2 linked regions of the Xenopus tropicalis genome follow. The protein of the gene in region 2 interacts with the protein of the main gene of each other region in a biochemical or structural test. Links are inferred from orthologs where the notes say so. Each region holds a gene or a part of one and is shown on either strand. Other genes may lie near its edges.

Evidence for each region.
Region 1: the proteins of tert (region 2) and cib1 form a complex in vitro, tested with the Homo sapiens proteins (2 studies listed by BioGRID). The link is inferred for Xenopus tropicalis from reciprocal best matches to the Homo sapiens genes TERT and CIB1.

Annotation. Positions count from the first base shown.
Region 1 is NC_030679.2:108,225,616-108,229,778, forward strand, and holds the start of cib1 (calcium and integrin-binding protein 1), read left to right. Parts: upstream 1-1,359; 5' UTR 1,360-1,383; coding exon 1,384-1,434; intron 1,435-3,314; coding exon 3,315-3,349; intron 3,350-4,163. UniProt on the Homo sapiens protein: Calcium-binding protein that plays a role in the regulation of numerous cellular processes, such as cell differentiation, cell division, cell proliferation, cell migration, thrombosis, angiogenesis, cardiac hypertrophy and apoptosis.
Region 2 is NC_030682.2:58,817,847-58,821,411, forward strand, and holds part of tert (telomerase reverse transcriptase), read right to left. Parts: intron 2,807-3,565; coding exon 1,228-2,806; intron 1-1,227. UniProt on the Homo sapiens protein: Telomerase is a ribonucleoprotein enzyme essential for the replication of chromosome termini in most eukaryotes. Active in progenitor and cancer cells. Inactive, or very low activity, in normal somatic cells.

The DNA.
Region 1 (4,163 bases), on a different chromosome or scaffold from region 2:
GTCAATAACTGAATTAATTCAACTGGAAGGGTTTGCACCATGTACCTTCCTAACCTTACTGAAAGAGGTCCTGTATTTCCTATGCAGGAAATAGCCCTGTATATAGAGGTTTGTGCCATGTACCTTCTTTACCCTAAAACAGTGATCCTTAACTAGAGGTTTGTAAGCAGCATGTTGCTCACCACCCCCTTTGATGTTGCTCTCAGTGGCCTCAAAGCAGGTGCCCATTCTTACATTTCTGGCTTGGAGGCAAGTTTTGGAAGCATAGAGACATGGATTTACCCCAAGCAGAGCCTCCTGCAGGCCAGCAGCCCACATGGGGTACCAAATAGCCAATCACAGCCCTTAGTTGGCACCCCAAAGAACTTTTTTTCATGCTTGTGTGGCTCCCCAACACTTTATACATCTGAGTGTGGCTCACGAGTGAAAACGTTTGGGGATCCCGGCACTACAACATGAGATCCTTCCTAAAGTGTCCTATACAGGAATTAGCCCTAGTAGAAAGGATAGCTCTACGTACCCTACACCATAAGATCGTGGAAAGTAGCAATCAAGATGACTCGCCCGGTTCCATTCATAGCCGGTCCACAAGCTGCTCTATACAGCTGCAAGGCTCAGCGTCTGTGTACTTCCTGCCTGGACTGTACCACTACCTGTACGGGGGGGAATTTCGACGTCCTTGAAAGTAGGATAATTCCTCCTAGTTTCCAAACAAATTATTTTGGGCTGGTTGGTTTTGAATACAAATGTTAAAGTCACTGATTCGTGTAGTATGTTTTAGGACTGCGATTAAGCATCTACATATGTCAAACCCCTTTGATCCGTCCATGGATGGTTTTTACCTCCACATCGCAAATTCTGACAGCGTAAAACTCTTTAGTGAATGAACTTAAAGGGGTTGTTCGTTATACTTGCAGTCACCCGTATAGGCCTTACCAGGGCTGCAGGGAAATGTAATTAAAAATAGAAAAAGCTGGGAAGCCACAACCCAGGTCAAAAGTGTGTAAGGGGGGGGGCGTCTAATATAGCATGTCAAATATACGATAAGTGAAATGTGTTTCTACTGGGAAGGCGGGGCGGCGAATTGTGGGTTTATATTTATAGTGCCATCCTTGTTCTCATTTCTAAGCACTAATCGTGCAGCAGTAGATACATACAGTAGCCCTGCAACAAGAACGCGGAGGGGCGGAGGGGCGGAGGGGCGGAGGGGCGGAGGGGCGGGGCGGGGCGGGGAAGGAGTGGTGGGGCGGGGCTACCTGGAATATGCAAATACTTTGTTGCTTTGGGAGACGGTGACGTCGGAGGCGGAAGTGGGCAGAAAGTTGCTGAAGTTTCGGGGTGAAGTTACCTGTGAGGAAGGAGGCGGTTTGGGGTGTCAGTGACATGGGGAACTCATCAAGCCATCTCTCCAAACAGCTCATTAATGAATATCAGGTACCGGTGGGCAAGTGCTAGGTACCCGGAAATGAAAGCGGCAGATATGTATTATTCACGCTTGTATTGTGCTGGGCAAGGTGCTAGGGTCTGCTCTATGTTCAGATCGAAATATGCTTCAAAGTGCAGTTGTCTCTTTAGGGGTTGGAGCCCAATATGCCGAGGAAGGTCGGATATCAATGCGCTGAACCGAGAGCTCGGCATGACAAGCGCCTGTCAGGAAACCTTTGGGGGCCGCACAATGCGATTAGGTTTCACATTAACAGCACTCAGCAGCTTTCTATTAGCTAAACCATATGTTGTATTTATAAAATGAACTTTGATGGGCAGATTTATCAAATGTGAGTGTAGAGCTTAATACATAAAAATACACCTACGCCCTATTCCTTCTTGTGGGATTTTTAGAAGTGTATTTATCAAATGGTGAGTTCTAACTTTCACCCATTGCTAAATACGCTTTTAAAAATCCCATAGGAATAAATAGAAGGTTGGCGAGTTTTTATATATTACATTTTGATAAATCTGCCCTAGTGTGTTCAAGACAACAATATTTGGAGACAGTGCCATTGGCTTTTAACTTTAGTTGTGTTGTGTAACATTTTGTTTTAAAGCCTTAAAGGTTATCTGGCTGCTTGGGTTTTATTGACTAGCAACCTGCTACTGGTTTGAATGACAGACTTGAATGACAATTAAATAGAGGGACTGACAATAAAGTAAAAAAGTAATATGACAGTATAACCTGAATTATGTTTTACAGAGGGCAAAACAATTGTGTATAATTGGGAAATTGTAAAAGCAGGGAGATGTTAAAGTATTGTGACAACTGCCTTTACACTTATTTTATTTATAAGTCAAACTTCCATTTATACAGGAACCCGCCAGAAAGAAAACATTTGTTGATTGTATAGAAACATTCTGAAGTAAAACAAAATTTATACGCAGTGTAATTGGCTGAATGCTAGCACTCTAGCTTTCCCTCTGGCTCTGGGGAATACAGTGACAGGAGCCAGAATTACAAGTATGTTTTATTCTAGTCAGGGGTGAAAGTTTTTAGGCACAGCCCTTACCTGGTACTGTAACAGGAACTCCATACAGACAAAACTTTGCTTTAAGGCTTTTGCTGACAAGCATTTCCTTATGCACTTCCCTATGGTGGCTGTTATATGCATTCTGCCTCAAGGGAATGTGTTAGTTAACTCAGACTCATTATTTCCAATAGTAGCTGTGCTATCTAAGCTACACTAAACAGGTGGGACACTGCTTTCTTTTGGTGGATCCATTATCATAGGTTCAGATCTGATATTACTAAAAAATATCCAGAAGGAGAAAGTTGCCTTTAATAGATTGGTCACCACAAAAGCATAATTAGAGATCAGTGTAAAACTCATGTATTTAAAAAGCCGTAATTAAGTTGTGTTGCAGTTTTGTTGCATAAGGAAACAAAAACAATATCCCTTTATGGTGGGGTCACGAAATGAGCAGATCTGTGTTTGATTTGACCACCTGTATTCTGGGCTAAATCAGTTTGATCTGATCGTTTGGTTCCTAGCCCAATGATTATATCATAATGTGCGCCTATACAGAGCCGGCAGGAGAGGGCCACATTAACGTGCCGATATGGCCACTACCCGACAGGATATATAGACCTGCCTATACGTTTAAGCCACGTATCTATTGAATAGGCCATTAGGGAGGGACCATATTCTGGCAAATATGCTTCTGACCCACTGCTTTTTAGAGAACCTGTGCACCACCCAGTATGGAAGCAGAGGAACTATCATGGTTTCTTCTCAGTGTATGTCTGTGTATATGGTGGTAGTCTACATTTTGTTTTTCATTACTGAGTTCATTTTTAAAGTAACTTATTATTTTCATTTTAGGAGCTGACATACCTGACAAAGCAAGAGATAATCTTGTAAGTACTGACCTGCTAGTTTTTCAGTGACTACAGTCATACTGCTGCTGAGAGAAAGAGTGCACAGACCATAAGTGAACTTACAGACTAGAGCAGTGTTGTCAGCTGAAGGCTCATGGGCTAGATTAGATGCTACAAGAGATCTTTATGGTCCACATGTATTTTTGTATGACTGGGGAATTTGTGGGATAACAGCGGGGTTTACTTCCCCTGAGTGGATTATTTGGCCAGTTAAACTCTTCTTAAAGGAAAAGTAACACAAAACATTTTTAAGTAAAAAAAAATCTATTCTACCCTGCCCCCAAATTGCCCTATCCTGCAAACCATTTATTATTTTGAATGCTGTAGTACAAAATACCTGTTAAAAGTTGGCTTCCGGTCATTTGAAGAAAGGCGATGCAGGTGAAGTATCGGGGGAAGTGTCCACTAGGGCAATTATTGGGGCAGGGTAGAATAGATTTTTTACTTAAAATTTTTTTGTGTTACTTTTCCTTTAAAAAGTTATTCATTTTCTAAAGGTCAGGTTTCTGTGGCTGGAATGAGATCATAAACACAACCATAGTGATACCTAACTTATTCTGTTTCCTTGTTTACTGGATAAAGTACCAATAGTTACTTGCTGCTAAATACTGTTGCTTCATTATTTCTGTTTCCTTTTTTTGTAACAAAGGGTCATAGTGCACAAACCTGTGTTGTTAGACTTTAGTTTCTTAACAACTATAGGCTTTCAAGACAAAGAAGTTAGTCATCAATACAAGTATAGGATCTATACTCTGGAATGCCTGGACTTTTCCAGCCAAGAAATAATTTCATA
Region 2 (3,565 bases):
ACAGGCCAATAAAAGCTGCAGATGGTCCGGGTCAGCACATTGTATGAGCCCAACAGCTGTCAATTAGACAAGTATAAAAATCCCTTGGGGCGAAAAGCACATCTGCGCTTCCATGCAGTCCTCGTGGCGATGGCCTGTATTCCATCAATGTGATCTGATATCGCCCACTTCAAGATGGACATGTCAGGGAAAGATCCGCTCCTTTGGCGACCTCACCAAATGAGCCTATGATTAAGTACCATATAGGTACAAAACGTATAAGGCTTTGTAGCATTATGTGTAACTTTTTTGTTTTTACTATAAACTTTTTTGAGCCACTATTTGACGTTCATTTGGAGTTACGGAGTGCCTGCCTTTTTCGTGTTTTGACCTCACCAAATGAGCAGATCTCTCGGTGTATGGGCACCTTTAAAAACTTTACACTTTTTGCAGGTGTAGATCTATTGTCCAAGGGAATTTGTTCTTTTCGCTATCCATGTTAATGAGCAAACCACTGCAGGCTGGGGAGGGGCAGTAGCATGGATAAACCATTCAAAAAATCAAAACCATCTTAAAGTAGTATAGATCATCTTACAACTCAGAACAATTAAGTTTAAAGATGAGGGTTTTGTTTCCTTTTTAACCACATATCCAGCAAAATAAACTAGACTAGTTTCAGACAAATCACTCATCAGTTGCTATGAGCAAATTTGCACAGCGTTGGCATTGTATACCAATAACATGCTTAACTGCACTGCAACTGGGGGTGTAGCCAAGCAATCACAGAACACATAACAACCTGGAAGGGTTACATTGATTTGAAACTTTTATACAAGTCCTGGTCAGTGAAGTATTATATTAAGCATAAAATAATGATCTATGCTATCTGGATTAAATTAACTTAATCATAAACAGTGAAATCCTCCACAGATAACTCTTTCAGCAATACTTAAAATACTTTATAGTTCATACATCTTTTTAGGCATGTGTGCGCTTTTACTTAAACTCACACTCTCTAGTTAAATGGATTAGTTACACAAACAGGAAGCATTTAAGATCAACAGATTTGAATCATGTAGATTCATTAGACACTCTACTTATCCATATTTGCACATCTGTCAACACTGGCTTAGCACAATGTTGATAGATATGTAAAGTACACATTAATAGCTTTAATACTGTACGTAGCTTAGTTGACAGATCTGCAAATAAGTTCAAAAGAGTTTAAATACTTTATAGTTCACTTACTTTTTCGTAGACGAATCCAAGAGCAGTCTTCTACTTTCATCTTCCACATAAGCTCTAATAAAGAGACCTTGCCAAATTTGCCAGAAAAAAAAAGAAAAGATTTTACATTTCTAAGGAAACGGCACTTGTTGTGACTGGAGCCCCATATGAAATCAGGCACTAAACTATTTAAACATTCTCTAACAAACATGTACACTTGCCAACTGCTGCTGTGTTGTTTAAGAAGAGGTAAAAAAGTTGCTTCGGCTGGAACATGTTTTAGCGGCTTTTCATCATTTACAATTTTGTTTTTCATAACTGAGGTATTACTTAAGTCACAAATTGATTTATCCATTTTACATTTATTCTTTTTCTGCAACGCCAGTTTGTGTGAACAAGCCATTGAAGGCCTAACAGGGCAGTGTTTATTCAAATATACCAGATAAGGGAAATTCTTATGGTTCTGTATTAATTCTTGGAAATATTTTCTCATTCTCCAATAACGTTTGGGAAGTTTAGATCTAAAGTTTTCATCCCGTTTTGGCTGGTCAAAATTTTGCTCAGTTAAAAAGTTGTTTAGAAATATGGTTTCCACTAATTTTTGGCTCCCAGAAGGGGTACAGTCTAAACTGTTAAGTATAAAACTTTCAGAGAAGCCCTTCTTGAAACTAATACTTGAATACAATGTTCTTCCAATTTCAATAAAAATATTTGAAAATGAAGTTTTGCTTTGTATTGTAGGGACAGAAGCATTGGTAATAAACGTATTAGCATTATTTTGAAGAGTTACATTAAATTCACCATCAACTGAGTATGAAGTCGATTTTGGACATTGAATTTTTGTTTTTTTTCCATATCTTGAGGTAATAAATTCCGTTGCTTGTACTTTAGCTTCAGGGCACACATTTGAGAAGGAAGAAAGACATGCAGACGTAAAGGAAACGTGGTCCATTTTATCATCTTTGTCCAAGTTGACTCTGCGTTTCTTAGTTGGAATGTCACAAATATCTGTAGTACACATCTTCCTTTTGGAATGTATTTTTGTGGTAACTTTCATAGATGACTCACTACAAATAGGCAATGCTGATGTGGACTTTTTATTTTGCCATGTTAGCATTTGAGAAGTCTTTGAATGTTTTTCTACTTTGCTGTTTAACACCGTTTTCCACCATTTTTTTGGCTTCAGATATTTTTTCCGCAAGAAAAAGGCATTTCTTTTAATGTACTGCAACAAAACATTGCTATGCATAAATGACTGAGATCGAAATGAACACATACTATCATAGGGTAAAGTGTAGATTGGCTGCCCACTGATTTGATAACAACAACTAGGTGGCACAAATACAAAAACTGAGCATTGTTCCAGCCAATACATCATAACATCATCACCTACTCTAGTAAGCAGAGTTTCCCAAAGAATACTTGTGCTGATTGTTGTTGTTGTGGAATTAGGAAAATAACTGCAAATATTTGGAGTCAATCGAATATTCAGAGAGCTATTTTCATCAACTAAGCCATAACCAAAAGCAAGAACATTTTTTCTTTTCTTTTCACAAATCCGCTGAATTACTCGCGCCACTACTTCTCTCTGAGTTGATAGCTAAAAGAAGAAGAGAAAATATATTATGTCTAGGGATGAATGAATTTATAGTATTTTCATGAAATAACTGTTCTTCTACAAATGCTTTCAATGTAATATTGTGGGTAATCAAAAAGAAGTTCTCTTACTTAATGATATAACATTTAAAGGCTAACCTATACAATCATATATTTAAAATAAATAAAACTCATGCAAACTCCTAAGAAAACTGGAAAAACTTATTGACTCGAGTATAAGCCTAGGGAGGGAAATGCAGCCGCTACTGCTAAGTTTCAATAATCAAATAACAGATAAATAAATAATAGATAACTTTAGGTAAAGAAAAATGCTACAGCAGCAGACAAAAGCAAGTTTGGGAAGGCTAAGGAAGCTGCCATACTAATTATCAAGTACTTGCCATCCTGCTGTGTGCTTTGTGCTCGTCCCATTGGTTCTGTGCGCTGTGTGCGCTCCCATCATTAGTGAATTTCCATTACCAAAAATAATTACTTACAAATCCTAAGTAGGCACAGTGCATCATTGGAACTTTTTTATTTCTAAAGATCTGTCCTTAAAAGTTTTTTTTTTTATATTTTTTTAGTGGTCTTTTTATGTGCCTTTTTTAGTGAATGTGTGCCCCACTGTAACGCGCCACGGCTTGATGTGTGTCCCATCGGTTCGGTAATTAGAAGCAGTAACAGAGCACGTACGTCCCTTAATGGTGCAGCGCGTGTCGCGCATGATGGCTTTAAAATCAGAGATCTCGAGTTTTAAACTTTT